Linked DNA regions of Canis lupus familiaris. The protein of the gene in region 6 interacts with the protein of the main gene of each other region in a biochemical or structural test. Links are inferred from orthologs where the notes say so. Each region holds a gene or a part of one and is shown on either strand. Other genes may lie near its edges.

What was found.
Region 1: the proteins of ERBB4 (region 6) and RASA1 form a complex in vitro, tested with the Homo sapiens proteins (2 studies listed by BioGRID and IntAct, with this or other methods). The link is inferred for Canis lupus familiaris from reciprocal best matches to the Homo sapiens genes ERBB4 and RASA1.
Region 2: the proteins of ERBB4 (region 6) and NRG2 form a complex in vitro, tested with the Homo sapiens proteins (2 studies listed by BioGRID). The link is inferred for Canis lupus familiaris from reciprocal best matches to the Homo sapiens genes ERBB4 and NRG2.
Region 3: the proteins of ERBB4 (region 6) and SYK form a complex in vitro, tested with the Homo sapiens proteins (2 studies listed by BioGRID and IntAct, with this or other methods). The link is inferred for Canis lupus familiaris from reciprocal best matches to the Homo sapiens genes ERBB4 and SYK.
Region 4: the proteins of ERBB4 (region 6) and PTPN11 form a complex in vitro, tested with the Homo sapiens proteins (2 studies listed by BioGRID, with this or other methods). The link is inferred for Canis lupus familiaris from reciprocal best matches to the Homo sapiens genes ERBB4 and PTPN11.
Region 5: the proteins of ERBB4 (region 6) and PTPN6 form a complex in vitro, tested with the Homo sapiens proteins (2 studies listed by BioGRID, with this or other methods). The link is inferred for Canis lupus familiaris from reciprocal best matches to the Homo sapiens genes ERBB4 and PTPN6.
Region 7: the proteins of ERBB4 (region 6) and ABL2 form a complex in vitro, tested with the Homo sapiens proteins (2 studies listed by BioGRID and IntAct, with this or other methods). The link is inferred for Canis lupus familiaris from reciprocal best matches to the Homo sapiens genes ERBB4 and ABL2.

The regions. Positions count from the first base shown.
Region 1 is NC_049224.1:21,307,596-21,312,028, reverse strand, and holds the start of RASA1 (ras GTPase-activating protein 1), read left to right. Parts: upstream 1-1,479; coding exon 1,480-1,949; intron 1,950-4,433. UniProt on the Homo sapiens protein: Inhibitory regulator of the Ras-cyclic AMP pathway. Stimulates the GTPase of normal but not oncogenic Ras p21; this stimulation may be further increased in the presence of NCK1.
Region 2 is NC_049223.1:34,247,996-34,251,703, forward strand, and holds part of NRG2 (pro-neuregulin-2, membrane-bound isoform), read right to left. Parts: intron 251-3,708; coding exon 79-250; intron 1-78. UniProt on the Homo sapiens protein: Direct ligand for ERBB3 and ERBB4 tyrosine kinase receptors. Concomitantly recruits ERBB1 and ERBB2 coreceptors, resulting in ligand-stimulated tyrosine phosphorylation and activation of the ERBB receptors.
Region 3 is NC_049222.1:96,632,653-96,636,360, reverse strand, and holds part of SYK (tyrosine-protein kinase SYK), read left to right. Parts: intron 1-400; coding exon 401-610; intron 611-1,591; coding exon 1,592-1,781; intron 1,782-3,708. UniProt on the Homo sapiens protein: Non-receptor tyrosine kinase which mediates signal transduction downstream of a variety of transmembrane receptors including classical immunoreceptors like the B-cell receptor (BCR).
Region 4 is NC_049247.1:10,376,990-10,380,697, forward strand, and holds part of PTPN11 (tyrosine-protein phosphatase non-receptor type 11), read left to right. Parts: intron 1-311; coding exon 312-379; intron 380-889; coding exon 890-1,041; intron 1,042-3,708. UniProt on the Homo sapiens protein: Acts downstream of various receptor and cytoplasmic protein tyrosine kinases to participate in the signal transduction from the cell surface to the nucleus. Positively regulates MAPK signal transduction pathway. Dephosphorylates GAB1, ARHGAP35 and EGFR.
Region 5 is NC_049248.1:8,004,919-8,008,626, reverse strand, and holds part of PTPN6 (tyrosine-protein phosphatase non-receptor type 6), read right to left. Parts: intron 2,335-3,708; coding exon 2,203-2,334; intron 2,080-2,202; coding exon 1,925-2,079; intron 1-1,924. UniProt on the Homo sapiens protein: Tyrosine phosphatase enzyme that plays important roles in controlling immune signaling pathways and fundamental physiological processes such as hematopoiesis.
Region 6 is NC_049258.1:19,996,441-20,000,597, forward strand, and holds the start of ERBB4 (receptor tyrosine-protein kinase erbB-4), read right to left. Parts: upstream 2,823-4,157; 5' UTR 2,663-2,822; coding exon 2,581-2,662; intron 1-2,580. UniProt on the Homo sapiens protein: Tyrosine-protein kinase that plays an essential role as cell surface receptor for neuregulins and EGF family members and regulates development of the heart, the central nervous system and the mammary gland, gene transcription, cell proliferation, differentiation, migration and apoptosis.
Region 7 is NC_049228.1:20,505,170-20,509,383, reverse strand, and holds the start of ABL2 (tyrosine-protein kinase ABL2), read right to left. Parts: upstream 2,968-4,214; 5' UTR 2,748-2,967; coding exon 2,591-2,747; intron 1-2,590. UniProt on the Homo sapiens protein: Non-receptor tyrosine-protein kinase that plays an ABL1-overlapping role in key processes linked to cell growth and survival such as cytoskeleton remodeling in response to extracellular stimuli, cell motility and adhesion and receptor endocytosis.

The DNA.
Region 1 (4,433 bases), on a different chromosome or scaffold from region 6:
GGGGGGGGGGCGGGGAGGGACATGACAGAGAGGAGAGATGGTGCTGTGAGTGAGGAAAACAAAACGTGTACGGTCTTAGAAATCAGAATTTGCCACTATTTCTACCAAAATTCTTAGCCCCCCCCACCCCGTAAGGCTCCCCTTATCTATTTCCTTTACTTCTCTTGAGTTTCAGAACGTAGTTTGAATTTTTTTTTTTTAAATACGTAGTGGGGGATCCCCGGGTGGCTCAGCGGTTTAGCGCCTGCCTTCGGCCCAGGGCGTGACCCCGGGGTCCTGGGATCGAGTCCTGCATCGGGCTCCCTGCGTGGAGCCTGCTGCTCCCTCTGCCTGTGTGTCTCTGTCTCTCATGAGTGAACAAATAAAACCTTAAAAATAAAATAAAATAAAACACGGAATAGTCATATAGTGATTTCTAGTATGCGACGAAAATCAAACAAATCGATAGCCCTGCCACTCCCCCTCGGCCCCGGGCCCCGGCAGCGCCGCTTCCTAAAGGCGTTATTTTCCACCAGCAGGAAGCAGGGCCCCGGCTCCGCGGCATCTTCCTTGCCGTCTTCCTCGGCGCTGCCCCCTCCCCTGCAGCGTCCCCGCCGCGTTCGCGGAGCCGGGCCCCCCAGCCCTCGGCCCGCCCCTCCGCGGCGCACGCTGACCCGGGGCGGGGCGGGGCGGGGACGGGGCGGGCGCCCCCCCGCGGCCGGTCCCCCGCACCGCGCGCCCCCGCCGCTTCCTTCCCTCGGGCCCAGCAGCGCGGCCGCCCCCGCGCCAGGGCCGCGCCTGCGCACAAGCCGCCCCGGCCCTGCTCCCCGCCCTTCCTCCCGCGGCCGGCTCCTCCTCCGGCGCCCCGCCTTCCTTTCTCTCTCTCTCTCTCTCTCTCCCTCTCTCTCTAGTCGGTTTCCGCGAGCGCTCCAGGTCGGCAGCCGCTCGGCCCGCTTCCCCGCCCCCCGCCCCTTCCTCTCCTCTCCTCTCCTCTCCTCTCCTCTCCTCTCCCCACCCCTCCCGCCTCCAGCCCCGCGGAGGATGCAGCGGCCGCCGCGGCCCGGGCCCCAGCAGCGGCACCGGCGGTGGCTGCGGTGGGGGTGGCCGGAACTGGGGTGGTGAAGCGGCGGCGGCGGCCGAGCGGGCGGCAGCCGCGCCAGCCGCTTCCTCTGTGCTTCCCTTCCTCTCTGGCGCGGCCAGGAAGTTTCTCACTAGTGTGCATGTGTGTGAGTGTGGGTGTGCAGGCTGAAGGTGCGGGTTGGCGTTGGTGCCGGCGGTAGGTTTTTTGCCCACTCGGCTTCCCGTAACCCGGGCCGCTCCGGAGCCTGGGCTGTGGCCCGAGGAGGGGGCGCGGCGGCGGGCTCGGTCCTTTTGTTGTCGTTTCCTCCGCCCGGGGAGCCGCCAGGGGGACGCGCCCGGGTGGGGCGGCTGGGAGCCCGGGCCTGCTGGCCCCCGGGGCTCCCGGGCGAGCGTAGAGCGGAGAGCGGAGCGGGCTTCAACATGATGGCGGCCGAGGGCGGCAGCGAGGAGGGCGGCCCGGGGGCGGCGGGGGCGGCGGGGGGCGGCGCGGCCGCGGGCTCGAGCGCCTGCCCGGCGGCGTGCAGGGTGAGGATGCCCGGCGCGCTGCCCGTGCCAGCCGTCGCCTGCTCCGGGCTGCCGGAGGCCGGCGGGGCCGCGCTGGGCGCCGGGCCGGGGGCGGGAGCCGTGGGGGGAGCCGGACTGTCAGGGGGAGGGGCCGGGGCCGGGGCCGCCGGGGCCGGGGGAGAGCCGGCCCTCGCCAAGGGCACCGCTTCGCTGGCTGCGGACACCTTCGGGGCGGGCGGCGCCTTCCCCCCGCTGCCGCCGCCGCCTCAGCTGCCCGCCCTGGGCGCCGCCGGCCTGGGAACCGTGGACGAAGGGGACTCCCTGGATGGACCCGAATACGAGGAGGAAGAGGTGGCCATCCCCCTGACCGCGCCTCCGACTAACCAGTAAGTGCACGCAGCCGTCCCGGGCCCGGGGACGCCGGCTCCTGGGCACAAGTGCGAACCCCTGGGACCTGCAGCTTTTCTTGCAGTTGCGATCCGTTGGTGAAAAAGTTTGGAGCCTTCGGGGTTGGCGTGCGTCGGGACTTGATTGGATCGCTCCTCTTCCCTGAGGGCGTGCACGCTGCCTTCGGCGTCTTTTGCATCTTTCTGGTTAGACCCTGGGAAGAAGTGAAGTTTTTGAGCTAGGAAAGCATGGAGAGTGGGGGGGGAGGGGGGGGAGGGGGGGCATGTGTATCCATCGGGAACCGGATACGGTGCTGCCTTTTCCAAGCCGAGGTTGCGTCCCCGGGGCTCAGCTGAGCTTGCAGCTGCCCGGGCCGTAGAGTCTCTCTCAGCCTGTGCGTGCATTCCCTGTTGAAGTCAGGTTATCCTTAGTCATAAGGCTTTGGGTATGCAAGTATTCCAAGGAGTATGGTATTGATGACCATTTTAAACATGCACCGGTCAGAAGGCTTTGCCTTTGTGGTGCTGTGCATCCCCAGCCTTTCGGAGGCAGAGCGATGCAGAAAAGTCTTCGGGTCTCTCCTGAAGATGTGGGTCGGCGAGAAAGGAAAGGAGTTCTGCGAATTACAGGTGTGGTGAAGGGTCTCTCTCCTCTTACGGGGTCTGTGACGTAGGCCGTGAAATTCCCATTTATTGATAACAGCCTGATCTTTTTATAGTTGAGGCTTTGTAAGCACAGTTCTCAAGTAAAATTGTCAATACTTCAATACTTTGTTGGTGGCCAGTGCAGTGTTCCATTTGGCAATCAGTTGCGACGGTATATTGCAGGGCATTTAGGGCAAATGGCTTTTTTCACACGGTGAGTACCTTCCCCTTGTTCCCTCCATAAGTGAACATAGGTGTGTGTTTGTAAAGGTGGACCTTGATGAGAGGAGAGTGTTACTGGGAAGGGGTAATAGATGGCAAAACCGTTCTTACGGATCCTTCACATCAGTTATTATCTGACCTTTAGAATTTCGACAGCCTTGGTGTATCAGAGGAAAAAATATTTGGTTCATATGATGACATTCACTCTGGACAATTGAAAGTATTTGTTTGTTTTGGATAAGCTTTGGAGGATTTAGAAAGGACTTAGAAAATGATTAGAAAAAGATTCTGTGATAATCCATTCTTAACCTAGGGCTACATCTTTTGATATTTAAGGGGGAAAGGTAAAAGTAGCCTGATTTGTGTCAGCCGTGGTATACTGCTCAGTAAGAGTTTAATTTTTTTGTCTAACTTTATTCCAACTTACCATGTTATGTGTTTGTTTTATAGACCTCTGAAGGTGTTCTGGGAGTGTGAAAAATTTGAATTTTACAGCACTGTTTACACACCTTCAAGCCTTTTTGAAAGAATCAGTAAATATTTAAGCGCTCACTACATCACTCCATGCTCAGCACTAGGGTTATAATAAAGTGCAACTTTTCATACTGAAAGAAGGCAGTCTTTTGCCAGTGTTTGTAACTGAGTTATATTAGGCATATTTGTATATTGTAGTTATAAATTTTTTTAAAAAAGTGATTTTGTGGAATGGTTTTAGGTTCACAGCAAAACTGGGCAGAAAATATAGTGTTCCCATTAGATTTTTCAGGATAAACATGAAGGAGTATTTGGAAAAATTTTTAGAAGTCTATTGTGTGAGGTTTCCATCATCATTAATATATATTTGGGAATAAAAATAATACTTGCATGACTGTATATATGAGAATCGTAAATGTTCTGAAAAGTATCCTCCATTTCAAGTATGTTTTTTAAATTTGTCACTGAGGAGTACAAATTACCCTCTTTTCTTTATCTTAGATATCAAACCAGAGTCACTGGAGGCAATACAGTGTAGTGTTTAAGGGTGCAAATTCTGAAGTTAGACAAGATTTGGGTTGGAATCCTGACTCTACCACTTATAACTGTGTGATCTTGGAAAGGTCAGTTTCCCCATCTGTAGAATGGGGATAATAATGGTACCTCCGTCATAGCATCGTTTTTAAGATTTAATGAGAACCCTGAAGTATTCAGTCAGCACAGTGCTTGGCACATAGTAAGTGTTCAGTAAATAGTATGCCAAAGTAACAGTAATATTTTATTGCCATTAAATTGCCTACTGATTCTATTGGTACAGGGAACTCCCTCACTGATAGTTACTTTAGGCAATGGTTCGTACTCCAGAGGTCTAGCTACCATGGTTAGCTATATTAAGAATTATGACTTCATAAAGGTTTCCATCAGGTTAAGTAGGTTTAGAGATGAAGTTCAGATCTTTTCTATGAATTCCTTTTTTTAATTTTTTTTTATTTTTATTTATTTATGATAGTCACAGAGAGAGAGAGAGAGAGAGAGAGAGGCAGAGACACAGGCAGAGGGAGGCAGAGGGAGAAGCAGGCTCCATGCACCGGGAGCCCGACGTGGGATTCGATCCCATCTCCAGGATCGCGCCCTGGGCCAAAG
Region 2 (3,708 bases), on a different chromosome or scaffold from region 6:
CCGGTCCCCCTTTTCAGGAAGGGTGAGGGCAGCCTGGTGGACAGAGGGAGGGGTGAGAGAGGGAGGGGAGCATCTTACCTGCCGTTGCCATACTTGATGCGGATGTCCCGGCTGCGGTTGAGCTCCTTGCCATCCTTGAACCAGCGGTAGGAGGGCTGAGGATTGCCCGCTGCTGCCTCGCACTTCAGTGACTGCTTCTCACCCACCTGTCCGGTCTGGCTCTTCATCTTCTTCAGCTTGGGCCGGGTGGCTGTGGGGTACAAGGCAGGGAGGTGAGCACAGGGGCAGGGGTGCAGTGCCAAGCACAAGCAGCAGAAAGAAGGCCACTGTCTTCAGGAGGTGGAAGGGTGGCCTGGGGAGCCTACCCTCCTGGTGTCATTTCCCAGTTCAGTTCAATTACTGTTCACAGAGGGTCCGCGGTGGTGTCAATGTAGCTACTACCTATGAAGCTTCCCTCACACTTGCAATGATACTTGGGGCTTTCGATACATTAGCTTAGGAAAAGAAACCCACGAGTTCACTGCAATGATGAAACCCCTTTACAGATGGGGACAACTGAGGCTAAGAATGCAGAAGTCACTTTCTCCAGGTGAACTGGGAATTCAAACCCAGATCCCCTTGACTCAGATGCTCATGATCTAACTCCTGTCCCAGATGCCCAGGCCTAGGCTGGGCCCAGAGGACACAGGAGGACCAAGATGACAGACACAGCTCCTGCCCTTAGGGAGGTCGGTCTGGCAGAAGGGCCGTAACCTGGCATTAGCATCACAGCATGGCCCCTGGAGGCTTGGAGGTGCTGAAACCAGAGGAAGGACCTCAATCCAGATTGGGGGAAGAGCTAACTTAGTCAAGAGCTAAGGGATGCTAAGACCCTAGGAGTGGCAGGAAGGGAGTGAGCCAGGCAGAGTCAGCATTGTGGCTTAGGAGAATCACATGGTCTGGAGAGGTAGGCTGATGTGAATGGGTCAGGTGGAGCAGCCATCTGGAGGACAAGGCCTGGGGCTATACTGGGGGACACAGGCCCCACTAGGGCTCCAGGCAAATGCTAGGCTCAGCAGCTTCTCCCATTTTTCTTTTCTTCTCTTCTTTCTCTTCTCCTCTTCTCTTCTCTTCTCTTCTCTTCTCTTCTCTTCTCTTCTCTTCTCTTCTCTTCTCTTCTCTTCTCTTCTCTCTCTTCTCTCCTCTTCTCCTCTCTCTTCTCTTTTTAAAGATTTTTATTTATTTGTTCATGAAAGACAGAGAGAGAGAGAGAGAGGCAGAGACATGCAGAGGGAGAAGCAGGCTCTTGAGGGGAACCTGATGTGGAACTCGATCCCAGGACCCTGGGATCACGACCTGAGCCAAAGGCAGACACTCAACCATTGAGCCACCCAGGTGGCCCTTCTCCTATTTTTCTTACACAGAATTCTATTTCCACATGCCCAGGTCTCCCATGCTTCATTTCTTTGCTGCCCTCCCCTTGACAACAACAACAAAAAAAAAAAAAAAAAAGGAAAAAGTACTCTGTTCTCAGGAAGGTAAGGGCAAGCCCATGTTTCCTGCTGAGGTATGTAATAATTTCCACTGGGCAGCCCTTTATAGGTTACACAATGCTTTCATGCATGCTCTCGTTTGCTCCCTGAGCTCTGTGAGGCAAGTGTCATTGCCGACATAGATGGGGAAGATGAGACTCAGAGAGGTTAAGAAACTTGACCAAGGTCACATAGCCAGGCAGCCAGGCAGCTACAGAGCAGATCCAAAGCACAGGTATTTGTGTTTGCAACACAATGGGCCTGTAGCAGGCTGGTGTCTGCTTTTACAGCCTGTGTCTCTTTTGGGGGAATGGAGAAAATAACTGAAATTCTTCCATCAGCAGAAGGGAGGGTCTGTTAGGGCCAGGGAATTGTCTCGGGAATGAACGGTCCCGTCTCGGCTGACTCTGGAGGAAGGCAGCCAAGAGGGCCTGGCTATCGCCAGGGCTCCCTCACAGAACCTACCCCTGCATGGCTGCTTAGAAGCAGGCAGTAGATGGGAGAAGGTGCCTGGGGGGAGAGAGCAGAAAGAGAAAGAGCTCCTGAAGCTTCAAAAATGATATTACATAGACTAAAAAAACGACAGTGCTTATGAAATGCTTTGTTCGTTCTAGAAAATTAAAAAATACAGATGTATAAAAGAAAATAAAAATACTCAATTTTACCCAGAAGTAAGATACACACCCATACACGTGCATTGTAAATAAATGGGATCAGCATCAGTAACACATTTCTTTCATTAAATGAAAGAAATGTAAGCCTTTGAGTTTGGCCTTGATTATTAGCAACAGCATTTCCCACACTAATGTCTATGGGACGTGAATATCCAGAGAGATGATAATAAATAGACATTACTTGAGAAAAGGGTTCCATGAACAAACCAATTTGGGGAGCAGGTAGGTCAAGAGAGTTAACGAAGTATCATCACTGACTTTGGTATGATTTCCCAAAAAGGGTCTCACAACTTTTTTTCTCAGAACTCTTATAGAATTGCAAGGAAATAAAGTTAAATGGAATAGCTCTATAACCTAACTGGCGTTGGTCTATCTATCATCTATCTATCTATCTATCTATCTATCTATCTATCTATCTATCATCTATCATTTTATCTATCTATGTATCTATCATCTATCCACACATATTTTAATAATATCTTCACATAATTCAAAATCCAAGAAGTGTAAAAGGCTTTCTGACTTAAAACACAAGTCTCTGGGCAGCCGGGGTGGCTCAGCGGTTTAGCGCCGCCTTCAGCCAGGCTGTGATCCTGGAGACCCGGGATCGAGTCCCACGTCGGGCTCCCTGCATGGAGCCTGCTTCTCCCTCTGCCTGTGTCTCTGCCTGCCTCTCTCTCTGTCTCTCATAAATAAATAAAATCTTAAAAAAAAAAAAAAAACAAAGTCTCCCTCTAACTTCTGACCACAGTCACACAGTTGCCTTTGCAGAAGGCAATCAATTTTATCAGTTGCTTTTATATCATTTCAGAGACATTTTATGCCTAGACAAAAAACTCTAGTATTCACACACATATTTTTAAACATTTTCATGGTTGCATAATATTCCTTTATTGGTGTGCCATAATTGATGTAACCAGTTCCTCTCCTGGAGTATTCAGCATGTTTTCTCCCCACTGCCACCTCATTACAAACAGGCCCAGCTTCATCCAGTACATATATTCAGTGTGCCCAGCTAGGACACACAGTGTTCATCCTTCGCACACATCTAGCATGTACTGCTGGACAGGCAGTGCGGCTCTTGACTCAGACTGCCTAGATTCAAAACCAGGCTTTGCTACTTAGCTTTTTGTCCTCAGGCCGCTGACCTAATCCTTTTGTGCCTCAGTTTCCTCATCTGTGAAATACGGGTAATCATCACAGCTCTGACCTCATGGGATGGCAGCTGTAAGGATTGTCTGAAACAATGCACATAAAGCTTGGCTTGCACAGAGCATTTAACAAAGGTTAGCTATTACTGCTTATTACTATCTACAATAATTTCCTAGGGCAATCTTCCTAAAAGTGGAATTGCTGCATCAAAAGGGTATGAGATCTTCCTCAGCTTTAAGCATTGCCAAATTGCCTTCTGGAAAGGTTGCACCAATTTGCACTCCCACTGGTGAATGACAGTGCCTGTTTTTTCCACACCCTCCCTAACATGAGGTATTATCACATAGTTAATCTTCGCCAATTAGCTAGGC
Region 3 (3,708 bases), on a different chromosome or scaffold from region 6:
AAATTTTGAGCTCTAACAACATATGCTTTTTAAACTCTGCATCTGGAAATTAATTTTTAACATATATCAAAGGAATGTTATATTCACTTACATTACAGTTAATCTGAGATGGTACATCTGAAGATGCTGCAGGAATCCATGCATGTCACAGTTTGTGAGGTTTATTTGAAAGTCATTTACATATCTTGCAATATTGAGGCTCTGCTTGGTTGGGACATTCTTCAGCACCCCCTCATTATTTGTAAATCAATGCAGGATTCTCTCTTTGTCTATAAGAAGAGAGAACACAGTTGCAGGTATCTCCATTACATCATTTCTACCACAGCATTTATGCTTTGTAATTACCTGGAACTTAGCTGCTTTGAAAATTTTCTTATGAGGGTTATGATTTCTTATGCAGAGTCGTGAAAACAGTGGCTGTGAAGATTCTGAAGAATGAGGCTAATGACCCTGCTCTTAAAGATGAGTTGTTAGCAGAAGCGAACGTTATGCAGCAGCTTGACAACCCTTACATCGTGCGCATGATTGGGATCTGTGAAGCCGAGTCCTGGATGCTGGTCATGGAAATGGCAGAACTGGGTCCACTCAATAAATATTTACAGCAGAACAGGTATCTTTAAGTCCCCCAGAAGCTGATACTGTGATAGGGCAGAGCCCTCCTGCCCAGTGTACGTAATAGCTTTAATTTCTGTGGGAGGCTCTCTCTCCCCCCTTGCCTTCCTTGTGTTGGCCCAAACTCAGTGACCTTAAGGGTGGATGGAAGAGAGTCGTAGTCTTTGGATCAGATACTCTTTTAACCCTTATTGTGCTAAGGAAGACTCTAATCCCACAATTTAGTCTTCATTCTCCCTTGCTCACTCTGTATTGCCTGGTGATAGAATCAGCCTTAGAATATCTCGGTAATCAGTCTCCCCTCACTAGGCAGATCATGCCCACCTTAGTGAGAGAAATATTAAAATAAACATTTTGAAAGGGGTAACTAGTGACGTCTTACTCATCTGGCTGACCTCTACCTCTACATTCCCATGAGTAATTCCAAAAATAATCTGATGCTATTAATGGATTACAACCATTGGTAGGATATTCACGCTGTGCTCATCTATGGCCACTGTTGAGATGAAGGAACTCACATGGAATAAGTCACAATAATAACCACTGGTTACTTTGTCCAATTTGATACATCACGTGTGTACTCTACTTAGATTGTGTGTCTAATCTGCACAGAAGAGAGGTGCCATTAGTCCCACTTCACACATAAGAAACTGAGACTCAGAGCTGGTTTTGTTATCAGTCCGATATTGAAACGAGGATTCCAGCCAAATCCTAGCTGTCTGTGAGTCAGGTCTGTCCGTTCCATTACACTACTTTTCATGTAACTCAAAGCACACCTCGAAAATCGTACCAGTTGAATACCAGGTTAATGGTGCTTGGTTTTGAGCAGCTGTAAGTCAACAAGGTTGTTTGTCACCACTTGTTACTCTTAAGAAGAATAGGAAATGAGTGGATCCCTCTGCCTACACAAGGAGCATGATTGGTTGGTCCCAAATGGAGTACTGTTCACCACCACTAATGACACATCTGTAACTTTCAGGCACGTCAAGGATAAGAACATTATAGAGCTGGTTCATCAGGTTTCTATGGGAATGAAATATCTGGAGGAGAGCAATTTTGTGCACAGAGATCTGGCTGCAAGAAATGTATTGCTGGTTACTCAACATTATGCCAAGATTAGTGATTTCGGACTTTCCAAAGCACTCCGTGCTGATGAAAACTACTACAAGGTAGGAATAACTTAGCCAGTATGCCAAGCAGCAGGTGGTGAGAATCTGAAATGCAAGTGTTTGTGTTCTTTATTTGATTATGGAAAGGGTCTCAAGAAGCAATTTATCTATGAAAAATATGTAAAAAATATTCTTGTTAAGCTTTGATTATATTGTTTTTAAAAATGGTAATACTCTAAAATATCATGAACTGAGTTCACTCAGAATATTAGCTTTCAAACTATATTTCTGGGAACAAAAAAAATCAAGGTATTAATTGATAATTCATTAAAAAAAAAAACAAGAATAGAATTCCTTCCTTAAATTACTTTGGAAAAATGGGTTGAACAAGTTGATTCTTGTAGGATATCTCAGAGCTCCTCCCTGACCCCATAAATGAACTGATAGTAACTAAAGGAAGGCAAAAACTTAAGAAAGCCCCATATGAACTCAGTTACAGTGTATGTGAGTCTATGTGGATCAACTGGAAAATGTAATGGGAATGGAACCTAGAAAGTGGAAGAGGGAGCCAAGGACAGATTTCCAGCTCTCTAGGTCCCTGGGAATGTCCAACATCCTCAGGAATTGATGGCACACCTTGAAGTCTCACTTGTGAATGGCAGGATGGGGGGTGGGATTGACCTGAGCTCCACATTGTGGAGTTCCTGGTACCCCCACTCCCCAACTACTGGCTTCTCTCTGAGAGGGCCACCATGCATACGGCAGATGAGGACAGCAGACCTCAGCTTGGGGTCAGCATGAAGGTCAGACAGGAGCAGAGCTGTCTGGAAGTACTCCATTGTCCATAAAGAAGCTGGTCCCAGAGCACAGCCCCTTCAGTGATGAGCCAGGGTTAGAAAAAGCACCGAGTGAGCCATTTGCAGAGACGGCTGGGAACTGGAACAAAGGAACCAGCAGAGTGACAGCCACAAGCACATGCCAGAGAGAAGTAGGTTTTCCATCAGGGGGCACTTTGGAAACTTTCATCATGATAATTAAAGAGAGAAGAAAATCTAGGCACTGAAACAAAGACTCACAGAGGACATAGAGAAGTGGAGATAACAAATCATCCCCAAACTTAGTGCCTGAACACAATACCAAGTGTTAATTTATCCATAGTTCTGCAGTTTGGGTGTGGCTTGGTGGGAGGGCGCATCTCTGCTGCACACAGTGTCTCAGGGGCCGTCCCAGGAGGGTGGAAAGATTCATACCCGCTCTGCTCACTCACACAGCTAGAGCCTGATCTCACCTGGGCTGAGGCCTGGGACCTCCGCTGGGGTGGACCCATCCATTACTAGCTCACCAGCACATGGCCTGTCCATGCTGCCTTGGCTTCCTCCCAGCATGGCAGCGACCGTGGGTGGTCCTGAGAGTCAGTTACTCAAGAGGCAGGAAGTGAGGCCACCAGGCTCCTAAGGCTGGACCCATGAATTGGTTCAGAGTCACACCCACCTCATGCTACACAGGTCAGAGCATCCACAGCCCAGCCAAGATGCAAGGGAGGGGAAAGGACAGGCCCACCCCTGGTAAGGACAAAGGTTAACATGAGGGCCAGTATTTCAAACTGCCATAGATATTCAGCAGCACACTGTTGAAAACTAAACCAGTAAATCTCTGAAAACTAATGAAGAAGAGAAAGAGAATATTGAAGACACTAAAAAATAACAAGCCAAAAGATCTGGATCAAGATAGTGAGGTAGGAGACCTTGGCCTCCATCCCACCGAAAGATCAACAATTAGACAGCCATTCTTGAAGGAGACAGCTCTAGGAGAGTGTGGGAATCCACTTCAGAAGCTTCAGCAACACGGGGCAACAACAGACCTCAGAATAGCTGCACAAAGAGAAAGGAGAAGAGTGTCATTTTACCTGCACGACACCATCTCCAGGCTGGCATCGCTCAGTATCATGTGAGAACAGCCAGCTAGAAGGAGTTCCTCCCATGGGGAA
Region 4 (3,708 bases), on a different chromosome or scaffold from region 6:
TACATTACTAACATTTGATCCACACAACAACCCTGTAAAGTATGTGCCATTATCTGCATTTCACAGATGAGGAAACTGAAGGTCAAAGAGGTATGGGATTTGCCTTGGGAAGTCCTAGAGAAGCTGGGCTCCACGTGTGGATTGGACTAACCCCAAAGCCCTTAGCTAATCTATTCTCAAATACAAACAGGCAGTCTTATAAATACTCTCAAGAGCAGACATTGTTTCTGTTCATATTAATAGTGTGGGTTTGAGTCCAAAACCCCTATGAATGGCTCCAGCGTCATTGCTCTTTGTCCTTCTGTCCACAGTGCTGGGATTGGCCGGACAGGGACGTTCATTGTGATTGATATCCTTATTGACATCATCAGAGAGAAAGGTGGGTCATCTGGAGGGCAAGAAGTTGTAAGTTCTTTTTTAGTTTATGGAAGGAAAGTGCTAGTGAAAATAGCCTGGAGGAGAGAATTTGAATGTTAAAACATTTTTAAAAATCTGGGCTGAAGACTTTGACTTTCAGTTGTTTATAGGAGAACAAAAGTGATTCTATTTGAGCCTTTGACATAAAATGAAGCCCAGGAGCCGTGGTCCCGCTGCTGTGGTCTTTTGTTGAATATGCAGTGGTGGTCTCTGGGGTGGTGCTGATGGAGAGTCCTGACCTCCGATACTTAATCAGATCATTTTCTGGAATCATTTGTATTAGTCAGAAGGCAGTGTAGCCCTTGAAACATGTTCAGTTAGAACATTAAAGACTACATTTAAAAAAAAATTAAAAAAAAAAAAAAAAAAGACTACATTTACTATATCTCTGAGTCTGCTAAAAGTTGTGCATTAAACCACTTCATCCTGGCCCCACAGTTTCTCCTAATGCTTCATGGTGCTTGCTTTGCAGGTGTTGACTGCGACATTGATGTTCCCAAAACCATTCAGATGGTGCGGTCTCAGAGGTCAGGGATGGTCCAGACAGAAGCACAGTACCGATTCATTTATATGGCTGTCCAGCATTACATTGAAACACTACAGCGCAGGATTGAGGAAGAGCAGGTACCAATCCTGGAGGGGGCTGGTGTGCATATTTGTACTTTCTTTTCTGGGCAGCTCTGATACACTCTGCTTTTGAGCAGGATGGGCCTCTAAGAGATAGCTGTTACTGTTCAGGAATGAGAAACTCATTCCCAACCAGGAAGGGCCTCTCTGGAAACTATTCCCCACTTCACAACTCTGGTATTTCAGCAGAGGGTAGCTTGGAGATAGCTGCTATCATCCTGGCCTGGCAGATTGGGGAACTGCCACGTGGAAAGGTTAGGATTTTCCCAGACAACATCCCAGGATTCTCACATGGCAAGTTTGGAAATGAAAGCCTTGAAGTTTCCAGCCTGTTCCTGTTTAGATCCAGGCCATCTTTATCCTGATCCCATCTCTTAAACAAATGCTTCACTCTTCATAGCACATAGCAGTTTGAACCATAAACTTGGTTGAGTTGGAAACAGTGAAATTTCAATTTTAATAAGCCATGCATAATGAAGAAGAATGTGGAGTTGGAGCATTTCCATTTGAAGCTATTCATAACAGACACAAAGCTGAGTTAATTAAGAATACGCTGAGATGAGGGAAATGAGGAGACTGCTCCTTTGGGGATCTGGGCATCTCCCCCCCACCCCCCCACCCCCAACTGCTCTGCTGCAGACAGGGGAATGTCTAAACAGCAGTGATATCTGCCTACTTTACCCTGTGTATTGCCTTCCAGAGAACCCGGCTTCTCAGAATGGCACCTGCCAGCGAATTGAGAGACTTCTAGCCTAGCAGAATAGCAGCCACATTATCAAAAGCTTCATTAGCCAAAGTAAGATATCTGTCAGCTTAGTAGGTTCTCAGTTCACATAAAAAGACTAGATTATGGGGTGCCTGGGTGGCTCAGTCGGTTAAGTGTCTGACTCTCGATTTCAGCCCAGGTCATGATCTCAGGGTTGTGAGATTGAGCCTGGCACTGGGCTCCGTGTTCAGTGCAGAGTCTCCCTCTGCTCCTCTCTCTGCTCGTTTGCATTCTCTCTCTCAAATAAATAAGATCTTAAAATCCAAAACACTAGGGGCAGCCTGTGTAGCTCAGCGGTTTAGTGCCGCCTTCAGCCTGGGGCATGATCCTGGAGACCCAGGATCGAGTTCTGCGTCGGACTCCCTGCATGGAGCCTGCTTCTCCCTCTGCCTGTCCTCTCTCTCTCTATGTCTCTCATGAATGAATAAATACAATCTTTAATAAAAAATTCAAAACACTAGATTGTTTTCGTTGTACAAAAACATCTTCAGCAACGGTGTACGTATAGAAATATAAGGTCAAATAATCAACATGGTACCAGTTTTGACCTTCAGTGCTTTAAATCTGATTTGGTGTTATCGTAATTGTTACAAAATATTTAGATGGTTGCTATAGGCTATTTTCTATTTGTCTTCCAATTATACTGAATTTGGGCCAGGAATAAAACATGAAGTTGCCCATATAGAAAGACCTCCTAATAAATACAAAGAGAATGTAGCACACTATTGGTACAAATTCAGGAATATCTTGAAGCATATAATCTTGTTTGGAAAAGCTAGGGGAAAAGCTCTCTTTATTTCATTCAGAAGTTTTGGTATTTATCCTTGTTTTGGCAACTTTAGTAGGGACTTCCCCAGCCTTACAGCACTTGAGATCTTCTGAATTACCGTATATAGTCTCTCTGACCCTAAATCTCAAGATGTAATTTGGATTTAAGAACTCCTTTAAAGATAGCTTTATCGGGCAGCCCTGGTGGCGCAGCGGTTTAGCGCCGCCTGCAGCCCAGGGTGTGATCCTGGAGACCGTGGATCGAGTCCCACGTCGGGCTCTCTGCATGGAGCCTGCTTCTCCCTCTGCCTGTCTCTCTCTCTCTCTCTCTCTCTCTCTCTGTGTCTCTATGAATAAATCAGTAAAATCTTTTTTTTTTTTTAAAGATTTACTTATTTATTCATTCAGAGAGAGCTACCCTAAATCAGTAAAATCTTAAAAAAAAAAGCTTTATCACCCCAGGGTCAGGAGGGGGTAGAAAAAAGCAGAACATATTCCTTGATAATTTAAGTCTTATAGAATATCGAAACTGGATGTCACTGATAATCCTATTTGAAGAGTGCTTCAAATGAATGCATGCATTCATTCGTTCAGCCAGTACTTTTTGGTGCCAATATGTGCCAATATTGTCCTTATTAGCACATTAACTGCTCTTTGGGATCTGAGCCTTCAGAGTTTAAAAAGATGGGTTGGGGGATCCCTGGGTGGTGCAGCGGTTTGGCACCTGCCTTTGGCCCAGGGCGCTATCCTGGAGACCCGGGATCGAGTCCCCCATCGGGCTCCCGGTGCATGGAGCCTGCTTCTCCCTCTGCCTGTGTCTCTGCCTCTCTCTCTCTCTCTCTCTCTCTGTGACTATCATAAATTAAAAAAAAAAAAAAAAAAAAAGATGGGTTGGCTTATTCATTTTTAAAAATGAGATCCTATAACGTGTAGTTCCATTTAATTCCATGTATGAACTTACTACCTGATTTTGTGGTAGAATTAAGAAGTACCTTCTTCTGGTAGAAAGCTTAAGTGGTAGCCTTAAGAACTAGTGAAGCCACCTGAGTTTTAAACTAAGCCAAAGAATGAAACTCATTTAGGATCATTGGTTATTCTTTTAAATACCATCATTTCTACAATTCTGAAGA
Region 5 (3,708 bases), on a different chromosome or scaffold from region 6:
TTTCGAGAGGACTTTGTTTCCCGTTTTTTTCAGACCCTGAAGACCAGGAAAGGGCAGCCCTTGAGGCAGCAGGGCAGAAAGGTCACTGGGGTCAGGAGATGATGCGGAGATGCTGTGTGAAGTGTGAGGTCTCCCTTCTTTCCCCACCCTCCACCAGCATCCTAGAGCAAACAGATCCCAGGAAACTCAGGATCCCTCAGAGACCCCAGTTCTGTCTGCTTCGCGGGGCCGCCAGGCTAGTGGCCTGAGTTGCACTAATTTCAAACCCAGATTGTCAAAAATAACCCCCCCTTACCCACTTCCTTCCTGTAACATCTAAATAAAGGCCATGGGGATTTCAAGAAGTGGAAGGGGAGTAACAGGAGGGTCGTACTTAGCAATGGGCCGGCCCCCAGAGGCAGAGTCCCTGAGATGACATGTGAGGGGCACCCCCAGATTCAGCCCACCCAGCCCTGCCCCAGGGCAAAAGTTGCTGGTGGGAAGAAGGAAGACATGTGAGGCCCCAGCCTGGGGTCACTTGAAGGGAGTAGGAAGGGAAGCAGATGAAGCAGGCTCCCATTTCCCCATTCCCAGCCTAATGGGAGTTATTAAACCAGCAACGGCTCCCATTTCTTGAGGGATTACTACGTTCCAGACACAGGGACGGGGGCTTATTGAATCCTCACATCAACCACAGGAGAGCCTGCAGTGACAAATGAGGAATCTAAGGGTCAGAGAAGTGAAGTAATTTGTCTGAGATCACACACACAGCCAGTGAGTAGAAGAGCCAGAATTTTAATCTACGGTGTCTGTCCAGGAACCTGCACCCACGGCCCCCCACGGACCCAGGCCAGGTCAGTGAGGACTCTGCCCCTCACTCCTCCTTGCTGACCGCACCCCCCTTGCTGCCTAGCAGGAACAGGGTCTCCTGATCATGAACACGAGGTCCTCCAGTGACCTAGAGATACATGTGCCCCTTTGGAAGACATCACCCATCCCCACACAACCTGGAGGCCAAGCTGGGGTCACTAGCTGGGAAGGGGGAGAAAGAGGAAGGCTAAGCATCCCTGGGGCTATGGATAGAAAAAAGAAAAAATGGAGAGCCACACCGACCCCAGATAGAAGGTGGCAGGGCCCAAGAAGAAATACAGGCTGAGGAAGCCCGTGAGAGACAACAGGAGCGACCAGAGCCTAGGTGTGTGGTGAGCGTCAGTGCACTTTCCCGCTGGCCAGCTGGCAAGTCGCTGGGCCTATTTCCTCATGGGTATTTGGCAGGGTTGGGTGAGATGGTACGTACAGGGAAGTCTCTAAAGAAGCCACCCCTCAGGCACAGGATCAATCAGTGGGGTTAGCTCAAGCTACGCTTCCGCCTTGGATCTGGAACCATCAAGGAGCCCGGATGAGGCCATGAGCAGGCGGAGGCATTTAATGCGTTAACATGTAAATTAGTGCTTCCAGGGCACTGAGTTAGCAGTATTTACTAGCCAGCTACTACTTTTATTTTTATTGAAAAAAAATAAAAGTTGTTTTGTTTTGTTTTTTGTTTTTTGTTTTTTATCTTGCCTCGGTGGCAAGAGACACTTTAAGGAAGAAAGCCCATTTAAAACCTGGGTCTGGGGATCCCTGGGTGGCGCAGCGGTTTGGCGCCTGCCTTTGGCCCAGGGCGCGATCCTGGAGACTCGGGATCGAATCCCACGTCGGGCTCCCGGTGCATGGAGCCTGCTTCTCCCTCTGCCTATGTCTCTGCCTCTCTCTCTCTCTCTCTCTCTCTCTCTCTCTCTGACTATCATAAAATATAAATAAATAATAAATAAATAAAATAAAATCTGGGTCTGGGGGTGCCTGGGTGGCTCAGTCAGTTGAGCATCTGACTTCAGCTCAGGTCCTGATCTCAGGACCTCTCTTTTATTTTTATTACTACTACTCACATCATTATTGTTCTCACCTGCAATGCACAATGATGGGGCCTGCATGAGGCAGACTTTCCTGCCGTTGGTTGATCTGGTCCAGGAAGCTGAGGACACCTCCAGGCTCACTGGGAACCCCATGGTCAGGCCAGCTCAGGTACTGGTAGTGCCAGATCTCCCGAACCAGGTCCTCCTGGGCAGAGCGCATAGGGCCAGTGCCCTCTGTTCCCACACATCTCCCCATCCCACCCAACCAGACAAAACAACAGATCCAAGGAAGGGCCCCAGGAGTGAGGCAGGAGTGGAGAATACTCACATTTTCCAGTGGGGAGACCTGTAAAGTACGGAGTTTGTACTCTGCAGCGTCATGTTCCCTGCAGTTGGTAACTACGTAGGGTCCATACGCACGCTGAGTGCCCACCTCTGGCCAATACGGGACACACTTGTTCTGCAAAGGGAGGGTGGCAGTGAGAAATGAGGCACAGAATGTATGGGGGCATGTTCCAGGCCCCTTTTGAGATCCTGAGTCCCTGGTGCTGGCCCAGTTAACATTTGCTGGATGAATGGAGATGCTGGCCAAGAGTCAGAGGGGGGATCTGGTCCTGCTGGCCACCAGCAGGTGGTGAGGCCTGACTGAGCCACTTGGCCTTACAATTCATTCAGTAAACACCGGCTGGGGCACACAACGTATCTGAAGTTGTACAGACCATGCTGGAGTCCCAAACATAACTACAAAGCAATCTGGGCCTCTATGTCTCTATGTATTCACAGAGAGACAGCAGAGCAGGGAAAACAGAGCCACTCAGGGGCACAGGGTACAGAGGGAGAGGGTAACCCTCCCTCTAGATTATGGAGGAAATCAGAGGTGGCTTCACAGAGGAGGGAGCATTTGAGCAGGGTCTTCAAAAATGAGGAGTCTGTCCAGCAGAGATAGTACAGAGAGAGGAAGTCCTTTCCTAGCAGAAAGCAAGCTTGTGCCAAGGCGTGAGAACCTGAGGCAGGGCGGAACGTTGTAGGGAAGCCACCATGCCTTGAGTGCCAGGTCTTAGAGTGTGACTTTATCCGGAAGACAACTGGGAGCCACCGAAAAATTCCCAGGGAGCCAGGGAGCATCTTGATGCAGTGCATGCTCTAAGAGGGACCCCTCTGACTTCTGTGCAGACATGTGGGAGGAGGGGGCAGCCCACAGGGAGGGAGGCCAGCTGGGCAGTGGGGTGAGGGTGAGGGTGAGGGGCAGACTCCAGAGAGAGTTATGAGGCAGAGAGGACAGGAGGCAGGTTGCTTCTGGCAAGGGACACTTTAAGGAAGAAAGCCCATTTAAAACCTGGGTCTAGGGATCCCTGGGTGGCGCAGCGGTTTGGCGCCTGCCTTTGGCCCAGGGCGCGATCCTGGGGACCCGGGATCGAATCCCACGTCAGGCTCCCGGTGCATGGAGCCTGCTTCTCCCTCTGCCTGTGACTCTGCCTCTCTCTCTCTCTCTCTCTCTCTCTCTCTCTCTCTCTGTGATTATCATAAATAAATAAAAATTTAAAAAAAAAAAAAAGGGATCCCTGGGTGGCGCAGTGGTTTGGCGCCTGCCTTTGGCCCAGGGCACGATCCTGGAGATCCAGGATCGAATCCCACGTCGGGCTCCCAGTGCATGGAGCCTGCTTCTCCCTCTGCCTGTGTCTCTGCCTCTCTCTCTCTGTGACTATCATAAATAATAAATAAAAAAAATAAAAAAATAAAAAAAAATAAAAAAAATAAAACCTGGGTCTGGGGGTGCCTGTGTGGCTCAGTCAGTTGAGCGTCTGACTTCAGCTCAGGTCCTGATCTCAGGATC
Region 6 (4,157 bases):
TAAAAATTGTTTTCTCTAAAGCTGATTTTTTTCCCAAGCAAGAGAAGAAAAAATAAAAACAGGTCCTTTCCCATTATAATTATTTTAATAAATATCTTAGATCTATACAACAGAATCCTCCCTCCACCCATATCTTTATTCTGTTCACATAGAGCAGTAAATAAGGTGCATTCCTTCTGCTTAAGAAATTAGCATTTCAAAAATATGCCACTTTCCCCTGAACTCCAAGCGTGTCTAATAATGCGAGAAGCAGATTGTCTTCCCTCGTTTCCTTAATTTGTTTCATCTAAAAGCAATTCACTCAACATCTTGTCGCCCTCTGGCAGCTTAGTTTACTTATCCGCACTTAATTTCTCATTTGGACCAAAACAAACTCCTCCAAACTGCTACTGACTGCTAACCGCGAGAGGGGAGACACGCAGTATGTATTTACTTGGGAACAGACAGCCCCACGGACACAGACACAGACACACACAGCCTCACTCACACTCCACACAGTAACTTGGTTTCGTGAAAGCACTGTATTAAAACCAGCTGAACTTTCCCTGCCAGGTGCGGCAGGGGTGGTGGGGGCGGGGGGGGGGGGGTGAGGAGGGGAATAGGGTGAAGAAAGAAGTCCCCAGGGGCATTTACAGTTCCCAGTGGATCACCTTAGCATGCGTGTTGCAATTGTACCAGGGATGCACCGAGAGCTTTTCTTTGTGCGGCCCTTTCATCTGGATCACTCTGTGTTTTGAACAAGTGAGGCTCGCCTTTGTGCCCCTAGAATTTCAAGTGCAGAGTCACACACAGAACAACAATGGCACGCTAATCCCCGCGCTCTACAGGGGCTCACTTGTGGGTCTGACCATTCGCGGGGGGAAGCGAGAAGAGACCAGCGAGGGCGCGAGGCGGTGTCGCCGGAGACGAGGAAGGGGACAGCTGCAGAACTAATTTGGATTGCATTCTTTGCAGAAATTCTGAAAAGGGCTTTTCGGCATAGCTCACCCCTGAGCCACACAGTTAATACCGAGTTGCTGCGCACTCGGAGCCGGGTCCCCCAGCGGCCGAGGCTGCACCGACAGCCCCCAGTGGGCTGCCTCGGACTCGGAGAAATCCCTCTCGCCTAAGTCTGCGTGTCGGTCGCACACGCTTTTGAATGGGTCAATGTGCATAATCGACCCATTGAGGGAAAATACGAAGGGACTCGGAGTGCGGAGGGAGGAGGTAAAAGGCACGTATCTAAGAGGCCGCCTGGAATCCGCGGTCGGGGCTGGTGCGGTTCCGGCGGCGGCTGAGCGCGCGACCCGGTGCGCATGAAGGACTCCCGAGGATCGGGAGGGTGCAAACGGCGAGCACCAACGGCGCACGCTGGTGCCACTCGAAGGTCATTCTGAAAGGCTCGGCGCCTGCGACTTGTTATTTACTAGGCTAGGAGGGAAGGCGGCAGCGGCGGGGGCGGAGCGCGGAAGGCGGCGCGCGGCTCCCGGTGAGGTCAGGGGGACGCCCTCCGGGGGCCCGACGCGGCCCGAGCCCCGCTCCCGGGCGCTCCCGGGGGGCTTCACCCTCCCAGCTGCCTCCCACGCTCCCGCCACCAGCCCGGGGTGGCTCCGGAGATCCCCCCCGCTCTGCAAAAGGCCCCCTTTGGCGGCATCAGACCCACCGGCCTCCGTCCTTTCCCGCCCCGCTTTCATCCCCAGGAAACTCAAGTGTCAAAAACTTTGAGCAGCCTCGCCCTGCAGGTGCCGTGCGTGGCCCTGGCCGCCGCGGACGCCAGCCCACCCCGGGCCTCGGGGGCGGTCGGCCTGGGCCCGTCCAGGTGCCCGGGCTCGCGCCTTCTCGCAGGCGGTGGCGGTGGCGGTGGCGGAGGCGGAGGCGGTGGCGGCGCCGTCGCTCCCGCCTCGGGGTGGACCGGGTCGCGCCCCGGGTCGGCTCGGCAGCCGCGCCGGGCAGTAAACAGCGAAGTTGGAGGGACTCGGGCCAATAGAAGTTGAACTACAGGAAGAACTCTTCCCGGAGCCAAGCCGGGCGACGACGGCAGGGCCGGGCTCCCGCTCAGGGTGTCAAACCCCTTCCCTGCCCCCCCCCTTTTCTTTAGAGAGAGCCCGCGGGCCAGCGAGCTCCGTCGAGTCGGCGGCGCGCAGGCTGGCGGCCGCCCCAGCGGGGAGGGACCCGCGGCCGCACAGGTGCGCCGCCCGCCGGCTCGGGGACAGCCCCTGCGGAGCCCCGCGCGCCGGTGCCAGGCGTTCGCTCTCGGGGCGCCCGCACGGCGGGACCGTCCAACTCGGGAGCCTCGGGAGCCGCGTGTCCCGCGGCCCGCACAACCGGCAGGACCCGCAGAGATCCCGCTTTTAGGCTCCCCCGAAAACGCGGGAGAAAGAAAGAAAGAAAGAAAGAAGGGGGTCGGGGAGAAAGGAAGGGGGGAAAAGGGAGGGGGGACAGGGTCGCAGAGTGACATTTCACGGTAAGTGAAACGCAGGTACACGAAAAAGGCTAAGTTTGGGGACGGACAGACGGAGGGAGGAAGGGAAGCCAAGCCCGAGGAGGAGGAGGCCGGAGGGGCGCGGGGGGCGCGGGGGGCGCGGAGCCCCGGACACCCACCTGACTGGGAGGCGTTGGGCTGGACGGTCCCCGCTGCCAGCAGAAGGCTCACCCAGACCCACGGTCCTGCCGCCAGCTTCATTTTCTGCAAGTCTCAGATCCCGAGCTGACAATTACATGTCCAAATGGCATCTCCCCTGTCGGGCACGCGGAGGAGGGCCCCGAGTCCGGCGCGCCCGGGGCGCGGTGCACCGGCTCCCAGCTGGAGCCGCCGAGGGCGAGTGCGCGTGCGAGTCCGAGTCCGAGTCCGAGTCCGAGTCCGAGTCGGCGGGGCCGGGGCCGGGGTGCGGGGGCGCGGGGAGCCGGGGCCGGGGCCGGGGCCGGGGCCCGAGGAGGGGCGTGCGCGCCGGTGTGCGCGGGGCCGTGCGCCCGAGGGTGTGCGCGTGCCGCTCGGGGCCGGACTGGGCAGCGCTTCCCCCGTGCGAGCCTCCGCGTCCTCGCTCCCTCCTCACTTTCTCGCACTGGTTGGTCAACAATAAAAAGGAAGGGGGGAAAAGGCTTTCCAAAAAAAGTTGATTGCAAAGAGGCGGTAGGTTTCCGGCCTCTCCCCGCAGCCGGGCTATGTTGGGCTCCCTTTTCAGTTTCCTTGCACCTCCAGTCCCAACTGGGAGGGGATGGGAGGACGAGGGCGGGGGGGGGGGGGGGGGCGAGGGGAGGGCGCTTCTCGCTTCTCCCCCGATCCTGTCCTTCTTTTTCCCGTCAGCTTTCCTCACACTTGTCCGGCGGCTGCGGTAATTAAAGCTCCGAGCGTCATTTCCAACGCTCCGCGGTCTCCAGCTGCAGCCCCACCGAGAAATTAATAAGACTCCGGGAGGGGGGAAAAAAAAAAAAAAAAAGGTGGAGGGGGGGCGGATAAAACAAGCCTCCACGCAACCGGGCTGGCTCGGCTCAGCCGCGAGCCCCGCCCCCGCTCTGACCCAACTGGCCCCGCCTTTTTCCCCGCCCCCCACCCCCCAGAGGGGAATCTTATTGGCTCGTACTCTCCCCAAAATCCTCAGTCTCAGGAGTTGGGAAAACACCTGTCTGGGAGCGGGCGCGTGCTGCGGGGGGCGGGGGAGCTGGATTTAAAGGGCTCGCCCGACCCAGCCGACCGACGCCGAGGCCCTAGACAGCGGCTTGCGAGCGCGGAGACCACCGCAGGGTTGCTCACAGATTTTTTTTTTTTTTCTTTTCCTTAAACCAGAAAGTCCCCGTTTTCTCTACTGCCCCACACACAGTGCTCATCCACAGACTGGAGCTGGAAATAGAAGAAAAGAAAACGTTGCTTCGGGCATAAAGCCTTCACCCTTCTCCAACCTCTAATGCTGCTGCACACTCAGAAAGTAGTTAAAAAGGTGGTTCGGGAGCTGGGAGGCTCTGCCGGTTAGGTGGTCCTGGGAACACAATCACCCGTTTTTCCAACTATGCCATCCCTCCCACAATTCCCACCCTGCCGAACTGACGGCATTTATATAGCTACAGCCTTTGCTTTTCAGACCTCGTAAGTCTTTTTTCACCTTTTCCTTGGACTTGGGACAACTTTGTATGGGGTTCATTCTCATTAAACAGATTCTCGTCCAAAGGTATAAATGTGGTTC
Region 7 (4,214 bases), on a different chromosome or scaffold from region 6:
ATCTAGGTACTATTATTATTAGGTGCTCTTATCCCCATTTTACCAATGGAGAATACAAGGCATAAAAAGGTTAAATAACTTGCCTAGGGTCACAAAAATAAACAGTTAAGCCAGTTTTCAAACCCACACACAATGGCCCTTAATATTCCAAAACAATCTCTATTCTTTCATCTTCTATACTGAATCACGAAGTCCTTTAAGTTCTACAAGGACAGGGTCTCTTATGTTTAAAGCAATATTCCCAAAGCTCAGTTACATAATAGGTACTCAAAAAACTTCTGTTTATTGGATGAATGAAATATCTCTCGAACTTTCCTGTCCTATTTCCTTTGCCTCCATTTAAAGCCAGTCTTTCAGCATTTCATACTTGGGTTTGTTAATATATTCTATGAATTAGCCAATCAGGTAAACTGATATAAAATCCTCTGCCACATTTTCCATCACCCATGCCCAGTTAAACATATCTAAAGCTTTCTTGGCACTGCTTCAATTAGAATAATAAAATCTTAAGAGTCAGAAAGTACCTTTGGGATCAACCAGTCCAGTATTTTGCAGATAAACCCAAAGATGGCAAGTAACTAAATCTCGCAGCCAAGTAGAGCTAGGACCAGAACTTGATTCTTGCAATTTTTCCTCTAGGATTCACTCCTGGAGGACTTGCTTCACTCCCAACAGATGTCTCCTCACTATCCCATCAGCAAATCATGTTAATTCCCATTGTTCATGCTCAAGTTGTTTCTCCTGCCCAGCCTGCCTTCTTTTCCTTTTTCAAGAGATTCGAAACCTATCCACCCTTCAAAATCTCTTCTTATTCCATTCTTCATGATATTCCTCCTTCTCTGAAAAGTCTGTCTTCAGTAAGATCCTGGAGGAAGAGAATCACTGTCGCCTACTGGGCCAAGTTTGATGTACACTAGCACTTCCCACAAAACTAGGCTAACTTGGATGATCTTCCTTGAAAACTTATTATCCATTCTTTCCTCCAGTGCTTTAAAAAGTGATTTTAATAAAGACTAACTCACATATAGCACCTTCATAAAATGTTCATATATCTGGAAGAGAAGCTCACTCACATCTTTAATAGTACACATGTAACACCTGAAAGGCCCCAAATCACTTATCTTCTCCATTTAGAAACAACTCAGCATATTCACAAAGTCCAAACCCAGAGCTCTCGGATACAACTCAGCCAAAAGCCACAGTTCCTTGGGTTCATCTCTTTCTTTGCACACTACCATCTATCATCACTTCCTCCAAAACTCCATTTCTAACAAATAATTCACACTTCTTTTTCTTCCTCTTCTTCTGTACATTGTGTATTATAGAACCATGTCTCTTTTATCCTTTATTACTTAGTGAAAACTCCAGTTTGCTACCACTCATCCAACCTCAACTACCCAGTCCTCTTTTATATATTAAGTCACATCTACCCCTTCAGCCTGAAGTCTCATGGTATTCCAACCCCATGAAGGTCAATTTTCTTTTTCCCCCTTCTCCACTCTTCCTTCCTCTAGAAAAGTGGTCTCAAAAGTGGTGTGGGTGCAGCTCAGATAGTGCAAAAGGATCCACTGGGCTGCAGGGAAAAAAAAATAAATTAGAACTCTCATTACTTATTTTTTTCATCTTACCCTTTCTTAAATTCTATTTGTGTGCATTCATAAGTTACATAACGTACTGGTACAGCAGAACAAGTACATATATAATTAACAGATAACGAATTCTTGGAGTACGTGCTCTTTTACTGATAAAAGGGTATGATCAAAAGAGTTCGGAGACAATCATTCTAAAAATACCTCGATAATAAGACCAAAGTAATAGGTTCCAGACTGCAGAGGATTTATGTACACATGCACAGACTGCAGGAAGAAAACTCTTGTTCATATCCAAAGTCCTAACCATGCCCACCAACCTCTAACCCCTGCCAGCTTCTCAGAATTGAGTCCTACCCAAGAGCTCAGAACATAGGACAGCCTGGCAAAGCCTTTCATTTCCAGTTTGGGGGGGGGGGGGGGGGGGGGGGGAAGGGGGGTGGAATCTCAAAAGCGCTGAGATACTACCTTTATCTTTGCCATATTAGAGTATTTCTGGTCACTGCTCTCTCTTCTGACACTGCTCATAGTCTGACTTTATATGTGTGTATACTTTATACGCCAGTAGCTCCTGAGATGCGGTTCCTATTTCCAAATCCCTGGAGGCACAACCCCATTCCCTTCGCAGACGACCGGGTTACACGAACACCTACTGGACTGAGCTCACACCTCCCAGCATCCTTGCCTCCCCTGGCGATACTATCCTCCGGCCTCCCCGAGCCACACAGTCTGTCCCAGGGGAGAGGACAGTCCCTCCACCGTCCCTGAGCCCACTGCTCTTTCCTTCTCCGCCCCCGGGAGCTGCCAGCCAGGCTGGAGGCGGGCGGGGGGAGGGGTGTGACTCGACTCCCGTGACTGGCCCAGATGGCAGCGGATTCCGCCCCCACTCTCAGGCACCCCGCCACCCCCCGACCCCCCAGGGCCGCCTGTCTCCTCCCCACCCCGCCCCAACCCCACCCCCGGCCTCCCCGCGCCCTCACGCCGCTCCCACACACACTCACCGTGCTGGGTGAAGATATTGAAGCCGGCCTCCGCGGTGCGCCCCGCCAGGTCCCGCCTGCGGCCGGAGGGCCTGGCCACACTGCCGACCCGGATGCCGCGGGGCTGCGGCTGCTGAAGCCCCGGAGCCTCCCCGACGCGGCCCACCTGCTGCCCCATCCCTGCGCTCGCGTACTCCCGCGCCCCCCGCCGACCCCAGGTCACATTCCTCCTCGGCTCCGGCCTCGGGCTCCCGGCGCTGCTCCGGCCTCTCCTTCCCAGTCCAGGCCCCGGCCCCGAGCGCTCGGGCCGCCGGCGGCTCCGCACGCGGACTCCTCGCAGCAGCCGCCGCGCTGCCTCTGGGCGACTCACAGACTCTCCCCCCGCCTCCTCCTCCCGCGGCTCCGCGCCCCCAACGCCGCCGCCGCCGCCGCCGCCATCTTTAAACCACCGAGCGCTGGGAGAGCGTGGGACAGAGCGTCTCCCGCCCCGCCCCGCCCCCCCTCCCGGCCAGTCACCTCCGCTTCTCCGAGGGAGGAATTCCCGGAGGCCCCGCCCCCGGCCCCGCCCCCGGCCCCGCCTCCTCGCCGGGGGGTCCCCCTCGCGCCCACCTCGTCCGCGCGGCCTCCTCCACGCCTTCGGGTCTTTCGGGTCCTCCCGCCCTTCGCGCCCCCCGGGCCTGCGGGGTCTGGATTCGTCTCCGCCGACCCCTCCCACGTCCGGCTCTCCGTGCTGCCGCCTTTCGGAGGTGCACGGTCGAAAGCCTTCCCGGTCCCACCTCCACCTGTCAAGTCCATCAGGCGCGCGCGGAGCGCCCCAGGTGCACAGCAGGCACAGTTGGGACAGGAAAGCGCAAGGCGTTTGCTGCTTGCCATCCAGGTGAGCATCCCTGAAACGCCCGGGAGGATCCTTTTCAACACCGTTCTCAGCAGGCCTAGTCTAAGATTATACAAAATGTACATGAGGGTCGTACAAAAAAGGTACGTTATTTCATTGCAATTTTTTGAGACCCTTTCATGATGTTAAATTGTCCTCGCCTCCGTTGTCTGCACTCTGCAGCCTCATTGGAGAGACACTTACGGCCCCATTCCTCGTATTACCATGAATTCCTTTTGAACTCCTTTACCGTCTAACCACGTGTTGTTACCCTTACAGTGCTCGACAGTAAAGCTGATGGTGCCACTGGTGTGCTTTATATACCGTGCCCGTGGTCTGGTCTTCCTTTGATGACAAAGGAGAAAAAGAAAATTTCTCTTTGACCCTGAACTTACTCATCATTAATTTATTTTGTCCCAAGAGAGTGACTCAAGCAGCAGTGTTTGGATACATGCAAACACATGTGTATGTACAAATATTCACAAATCATTGTCCCACTGCACACGCTTGCATCTTAATATTGATCCAGTTTTTTAAATTCTCAAGGAACTTGGTAACTATCTTCTTACTCTTCCTTTCACTTCCTTATTTACTTAATACAAAGTATCTGTTATTACAGGTTCCACACAGAAAATATGCTTAAAGTTAAAGCAGACAGGATAGGAGACATTTCAAAGAAGCAACAAAACATTCACTAGGAAGGTAGGTTTAGGGGGGAAAGGCGGATGCGGCTCTCCTTTACACACCTTTCATAGAACCAGGATGACCTTA